2 linked regions of the Lytechinus pictus genome follow. The protein of the gene in region 2 interacts with the protein of the main gene of each other region in a biochemical or structural test. Links are inferred from orthologs where the notes say so. Each region holds a gene or a part of one and is shown on either strand. Other genes may lie near its edges.

Region 1 (3,932 bases), on a different chromosome or scaffold from region 2:
CGGCGGCATCCGCTATCACCACGAGGTTGAAAATAAAATGTATATCATCATAAACGATGTAAGATAGCAACGCAGTGAGCTCCGTCGGTAATACGACCTTTCAAAGTTCACGGCGGCATCCGCTATCACCATGAGGTTGAAAATAAAATGTATATCATCATAAACGATGTAAGAGAGTAACGCAATGAGCTCCGTCAATAGTACGACCTTTCAAAGTTCACGGCGGCATCCGCTATCACGAGGTTGAAAATAAAATGTATATCATCATAAACGATGTAAGATAGCAACGCAGTGAGCTCCGTCGGTAATACGACCTTTCAAAGTTCACGGCGGCATCCGCTATCACCACGAGGTTGAAAATAAAATGTATATCATCATAAACGATGTAAGAGAGTAACGCAATAAGCTCCGTCAGTAGCACGATCTTTAAAAGTTCACGGCGGGGTCCGCTATCACCACGAGGTTGAAAATAAAATGTAAATCATCATAAACGATGTAAGAGAGTAACGCAATGAGCTCCGTCAATAGTACGACCTTTCAAAGTTCACGGCGGCATCCGCTATCACCACGAGGTTGAAAATAAAATGTATATCATCATAAACGATGTAAGAGAGTAACGCAATAAGCTCCGTCAATAGTACAGTCTTTAAAAGTTTATGGCGGGGTCCGCTATCACCACGAGGTTGACGAGAAGATTTATATCATTATAAAGGGGGTAAGAGAGTAGCGCAGTGAGCTCCGTCGGTAATACGACCTTTTAAAGTTCACGGCGGCATCCGCTATCACCACGAGGTTGAAAATAAAATGTATATCATCATAAACGATGTAAGAGAGTAACGCAATAAGCTCCGTCAATAGTACAGTCTTTAAAAGTTTATGGCGGGGTCCGCTATCACCACGAGGTTGACGAGAAGATTTATATCATTATAAAGGGGGTAAGAGAGTAGCGCAGTGAGCTCCGTCGGTAATACGACCTTTTAAAGTTCACGGCGGCATCCGCTATCACCACGAGGTTGAAAATAAAATGTATATCATCATAAACGATGTAAGAGAGTAACGCAGTGAGCTCCGTCGGTAATACGACCTTTCAAAGTTCACGGCGGCATCCGCTATCACCACGAGGTTGAAAATAAAATGTATATCATCATAAACGATGTAAGAGAGTAACGCAATAAGCTCCGTCAATAGTACAGTCTTTAAAAGTTTATGGCGGGGTCCGCTATCACCACGAGGTTGAAGAGAAGATTTATATCATTATAAACGGGGTTAGAGAGTAGCGCAGTGAGCTCCGTCGGTAATACGACCTTTCAAAGTTCACGGCGGCTTCCGCTATCACCACGAGGTTGAAAATAAAATGAATATCATCATAAATGATGTAAGAGAGCAACGCAATAAGCTCCGCCAATAGTACAGTCTTTAAAAGTTTATGGCGGGGTCTGCTATCACCACGAGGTTGAAGAGAAGATTTATATCATTATAAACGATGTAAGAGAGTAACGCAATGAGCTCCGTCAGTAGCACGATCTTTAAAAGTTCACGGCGGGGTCCGCTATCACCACGAGGTTGAAAATAAAATGTATATCATCATAAACGATGTAAGAGAGTAACGCAGTGAGCTCCATCGGTAATACGACCTTTCAAAGTTCACGGCGGCATCCGCTATCACCATGAGTTGGAAGAGAAGATATCTATCCTCTTAAACATCGCCATAGATAATACCGCGTCTTTCTCCCTGAATAATGCGACCTCTAAATAGCTAGCACCTCAAAAACAATCTTGAAATATGTTCTGAGCGATCACGCACTGTAACCAGATCTACGCCGATTTTTAATTTTCGATTTTTTCCTTCAAGGGGCATGATCGAAGATCGGCAAGTGATTGCCGATTGTGGTGAAATCGAATGGAATCGGTCGCCGATTGCAAAATCGGTTACAAGCTTAGTTGTGAAATTTATTAGCGCCACCAACGGGCCTCCTTGTATTTCCGTAGAAGAGACAAGCGAAGTTACTTTCCAGGCCGAGGTAAGCGAAATTTGCTCTTTTTGACCGATTATTATATTCAAATTACATTTTTAATTTTTTAATCATGTATTGCTACTTACCGGAAAGAGCCCCGGTGAGTAGCGAGAAGGAGTTTCGGCAAATATTACTTCAGCAATGAAGCGATGTTTGCCGACTACTTCGAAATCAAGGGTCAAACACGGTTCGGTGTACGAGGTTAGTATATATTATACTAGTTTTGGTCCTTCTCTTCTGCGACTATATATATGGGCAGATGGGAGTGTCAAGACGTCAAGACAATGATGAAGAAGTATATTTCATTATTTTAAAAGTCATCATCATTGCGTCCTCAAGACTAGATAATACACCAGAAAATGGTTTGTACTCAGAGGGGAAGAAGAGGACACGGGGGACACCTGTTCCCCGAGCCCCCCCCCCCCCCCCCCCCCCCCCCCCCCTCCACGATCTACCCTGCAAAAGTTCTAAACTAACTTAAAAATCAGTCCATGGGACCAAAGCCAAAGGCAAAGGCAAAGCCATTTTTTTTTTGCGGGACATGGATCACGTCTGGAGATGTTAAAGTTTTAAACTAAAGAAATTCATGGCAATTTCATTACAATAATACTTCATTGATTTCCCTTGGATATAAAAATCATCAAATTGAAAATGAAAAGAGAGCATGAATACCTGAAATCATTAAAATTAATTCCTTTTCCTTGGCGATTAACGTTGAAGAACTCCTCTTCGCGATTAGTTTTGCTATGGTGTCTTTGAAATTGAGAGTTTGAAGAGAAAAGAAGTGAAAAGCAAAAGTAAATCCAGCAAGCGAATTGGAACAGTTACAGTACACCTTCCTTTCAGAGAGCAAACAAATATTGTTTGTGAAATTATCTGATTTACAAATGGATTCACCAATCGAGGTGATTAAATAAGAAAAATATGATACTCAAAGGAAGGTCAACAGTACATACGTTGGTGACACCGGCTGACACAACATATGCTCCGGACTTAATTTCTTTTTTAAAAAAAGGGGGGGAAAAGGTTAGGGTTGCACCCGGGGGTTGCAATGGTTTTAGTGTTAAATCCAGGGTTGAAGTTGGGGATTCCATTAGTGTGTACGTGGAATCCAGAGCGGAGCAATTGTTGCCGGAGCAAATGTAATGGGCGTGGCCATGGAACCCGCCCCGTACGTTTCACCGGCCCGTCCGCGAAATTATTTTTCCCACCGCTGTTCTGGAAGCCAAAATATGAATATTTATATTGGCTTCCAGAACTGCGATGGAAAAAATAATTTCGCGGCCCGTCCTAGTATTTGAAATTGCCTCCCCACTTTACAATGAGCTCGACCGGTTGTGTCCTTCAGAACAATAAAAAGGATAAATAAAATGAAACTAAAGACCTATTAAGTTTTATGAATGAATGAATGAATGTATTAATTAATCATTTTATTCATTTATTCATCATTTTGTTTATATATTTATTTTAATATCTTAATGATACAGGATAACATGCTCAGATCAACAGTTTGTCAACATAGTCATATTAATATAAAAACAACGATGGGTATATAAAAGTCAAATCAGATTCTACATACATTATGTAAATATGAATAATCAATGTTGTCGATCCCCGGGGTCGATCCGCAGAAAGTTCTATTCATCTGGGAGATATTACGTAATAACACAAAGCGCCACCCCCCCCCTCCCCCCGAGAAAGCGCGAGCGGATCTACGCCCATCAGTGGCGTATTGGCGAGGGGGCGGGGGTGAAGGGTGAAATATCTGATATGTCAAATCTAGCACAAAATTTGTATTCACTCGCAACTTTTCATTGTTTTTCAGTTCATTTATTTCCACAATAACATCAAAGTAAATGCATTTTACATCTCATCATCATTATGGACAAGATACAATTAAAAAAAAACATTGAAAAA
Region 2 (3,932 bases):
CTCTTACACTGTTCATAATATACATGTTCCATTTATCACTTCACATGATGAAATCCATTATCTCACTTTGTCTAGAAAGAGCCTGTAGCAAGCATATAGTAGGACAGCTAATCAGTTAATTTAGCTTTGCCCCAGAGATGAAAGTATAACAAGCCTCTAAAAACAAAGGTTACCTAAATATAATATCAATCAAGACTTGAGTCATACCCAAATTAAAAACAAAAATACATTGAAAATAAAGGGCTGATGCACAGAACTGTAATAAGGTCAATCATAATATCTCGAATCCCAAATTGTTGGTGTCAATGAACAATGTTAATGGTTTAAATTTTATGAAATCGAATACACCAAGCATTAGGCTATATCCAACGAGTTGGCACTACCTTACAGATGAAAGGGGGGGGGGGTGCTCTACCTTTGCAGGGTGGGAGAAACACCTACAGGGATTACTTGCCCCACCCCCTCAATGTTCAAGGTAAGCTCAGTGACCTAACAAGGATTACTTTTTATTTATTTTTTATTTAGAGCTCAAATTTAAGGCAACAAAATGCCCATAGACTCTCTAGTGCCATCACTATAAACACTTGTGCGAGTTTCCATATTTCTATATTAAGAGCTACATGTAGATGCCCCCACTCATGCAGAGGTAAAATGAATACCAGTAACCTGCGTTATGAAATCTTTAAAAAAACATGATTATATACTATCACTGTTATTCCAACTATTCAAAGTGGATTTTCCAGTTTTCATGAATTGTCCAAGATAAAAGTATCCTCCAAAATATTTAAGTATCATTTTGATGGTTCATCTTCCTTGGGTGCATCGAGTAACGCTGATCTGATTCCGACTTTCTTTAGTTCATCAATCAAGTCACCTGTCTGATGCATCTGAATCATGATGTCACATCCTCCTACAAACTCACCATCCAAATAAATCTGAGGGATTGTCGGCCATTCTGAGTATTCCTTGATACCTGTGTGGTTGAACAATTAGATGATATATTTTTTAGCAGATTTATATCCAATTGTAAAAATCTAATGAAAAAAAAAATATTTGGCCAAGTCTCCAGTAATTTAATTCCTGTTCCTCATTTTTCAAAAAATTCCCTATCCCAATACAAAAGACCAATTTTCCTTTTCACATTTTCTTGTAATGACTGGATTTTAGAGGCCAACAGTATTATCAGGTTATGATCGATTCAACCAAAATATAACTGCATGTGCATGTATGACTGAGTAATATCAATTTGATCAATCTGTCTTTATCGATCAACGTTTTACTTTTTTTTTAATTTATGTGAGCTAATGACTGATGAGTTGCAAGTTAAATTAAGTTTAATGAAGAGATTGCCAAATGTCAATGTATCTATACGAGAATTAAAAACTTTCTAAAAATCTTTATATTGGTATTCATTAAAACTTGAATATGTAACAAAGATCTAACTACCGTAAATAATGTAACGTTCAGTCTTGTAGAAAATAAAAATATTCAAACTCAACATACTCAAAGCAAAACATGTTACGGAAAAACAGTGACGACAAAATGGGGAAAAGGGGGAAGCAACTATTTGCCTAGACCAAAAGCTTCGGTCTCTGTTATGTTGGTTGTTCAGCTGAACTCCGTTGGCTTCACTCACCGAGGAGAAATAAAAAAAAAAAAAAAAGTTAAAAAACTCCTCGAAACAGACGGCTGCCAGCTGTCTACTATTTGCCATGTTAAATACCTTGCCGCAGGTCATCATCCTCTAAGATGTTATGACTTTCATAGCTGTCCACTCCATGCATCCTCAAGATCTGTACAACAGCATTGCTGAATCCACACTGCGGCTGCTCTGGAACACCCTTCATAAACACGACCACCTTATTCCCCTGAACTAGCCCGTCGATCCGCTCTTTCAGCTCCGATGAAAGCAATCGTAGCTGGCAGAGTGAAAGACCGGTCGCCTGGAAACTACGAAAAAGCCTCGAAGACGGCCGAATAATTTGAGTAAACAGCGACATGATCTTTTTCTATGATTAAAGCTGGTGATGTAATTATGAAAATATGAACTAATGAAGCAAAAGAGACAGAATTTATGACGAAGTGGAGATTATGAAAAATTACGCAATTTCTGAGGCATGTAAAAACTAGTCTTTTTATTTACGTAGGTATCGTGGAAATGTGATTTTAAAAATTATTTCATACCTCATTAATCGTTATCTTATCATGATTATTTTTTTCTATTTTTTAAATTAAGCTTACAATTTAAACACTCGGATACTAATTTGAAATACTTTCAGACTTGGCTTATCAATAAAAAATGTACGAGAAAAATTTAGAAATGACTACAAAAAGACTATTGTAAACGTTCCGGCAGATAATGTTCTGCAATTTTTTTACGTCAGAAAAGGTGGTAACTTTCTTGTAAAAATGGTTTTCCCGATAATAAAACTTGGAACTCTTGCAGTGAAGCAGATCAGCAAACCCATGTCCAAAGCGATTCGAAATATGGCTAGGAATAGTCCATTTATGAGGAAATATGTGTGCATGCCTCCTGCCCAGTGTAAGTAATAATATCATCAGACATCAATATCAGTATATGGGACTGTGATAAACTAAAGCCCAGAATGGAATTGCTTATTGCCGATATGGCGATAATGCAACGCAATGTGATTGAGACTGAGAGATCTATTATTTGATTGTTTGAGGGCGTGGCTCTACACAACATAGAGAGAGAGGGGGGAGTTTAATTTTTAAGGTTTGATACATATTTTGATTGAAATGGAGTGATTGAACACGTCATTGAAATTTGAATTGACTTCAAATTTCAATGACGTGTTCAATCACTTCATTTCAATTAAAATGTATACTACTTACTAGGCCTAATACAAAAAAAATGCTTTAGTATACTAATGCTAACCTCGCACTAGTGTGAGTGAAAATATGACTGTATCAAACCTTGAAAATTAAACTTCCCCCTCTCTTTCTATGTTAAGTAGAGCCACGCCCTCAAACAATCAAATAATAATAGATTGCCTTTGGTTTTGACTTTTTGGCAATTGAGTTTTGGGATCACAGAACGGAAATCTGTTTGAATAAGACTTTGATCTAACCCTTTAGTGTACGTGCACTTAGGGTCTACATCCACTCACACGTATTGCGAGGTTAGTATTAGTATACTAACCTCGCACCACGAACCGCGTTTGGCAGTGGATTTCTAACTAGTGGGTCGCGCGTGCTGGGATCTCACTTCTTGGGTCCACAACACACGACTTCTTTGGCTTGATTTTTCTGTGCGTGGCGGCATGTGATGAACCCTTGGGTGGGTCTACATCCACCTTAGGCCAAGTGTGTCCTGGATGTAATACTGGATATTGTGATCTGAAGAAAAAAAAACCCCTTTGACTGACTTAGGACTTCCATTGTAGGTGATTATTTGACTGGAGCAGAGTCTATCCAGAGTCGTCTGCTGTATGTCAGTGGATCGTATTAATTGCCAAAGTAACACTTTTCATAAATTCAATTTACAAACAAAATTTTCTCATGAATTCATCAAACTTCCACCATCAGTACACATATACCTACAAAAAATAAAGATATAATATTTTACGCCAAGATCAGTATCTTTTCTTTTTTTAAAGATATCAGCTTCTGATCCCACCCCTCTTTGCATGTGATTTTTGGTCATTAGCTTTGGAAGGATATTGGAAACTTTTAAGCATATTGAAACTATTTCCTGATGCGTAAATGCGCAGGTTACGGTTAGTATGGCAAGTTCTCCCAAGTCTGCGCAGTCCCCCTTGTCTGCGCACACGCGTATCTGCGCGATTCGAGTAAAAGAAGATACGCAACGAGCACGAACTTTTCACATGCAATACATAGACAGGTATTCATAAAAACATCTGACTCAAAATGGTGGAAAAATAATGAATTTAGGGCATTTCATGTGACGG

What was found.
Region 1: the proteins of glutaredoxin-related protein 5, mitochondrial-like (region 2) and bolA-like protein DDB_G0274169 form a complex in vitro, tested with the Homo sapiens proteins (2 studies listed by BioGRID). The link is inferred for Lytechinus pictus from reciprocal best matches to the Homo sapiens genes GLRX5 and BOLA1.

What each region holds. Positions count from the first base shown.
Region 1 is NC_087262.1:22,486,823-22,490,754, forward strand, and holds the start of bolA-like protein DDB_G0274169, read right to left. Parts: upstream 2,767-3,932; 5' UTR 2,698-2,766; coding exon 2,688-2,697; intron 1-2,687. UniProt on the Homo sapiens protein: Acts as a mitochondrial iron-sulfur (Fe-S) cluster assembly factor that facilitates (Fe-S) cluster insertion into a subset of mitochondrial proteins. Probably acts together with the monothiol glutaredoxin GLRX5. May protect cells against oxidative stress.
Region 2 is NC_087251.1:13,199,032-13,202,963, forward strand, and holds the start of glutaredoxin-related protein 5, mitochondrial-like, read right to left. Parts: upstream 2,554-3,932; 5' UTR 2,543-2,553; coding exon of another isoform or gene 2,410-2,542; 5' UTR 2,001-2,409; coding exon 1,724-2,000; intron 974-1,723; coding exon 792-973; 3' UTR 1-791. Other genes in the region: putative OPA3-like protein CG13603, read left to right, coding at 2,410-2,542.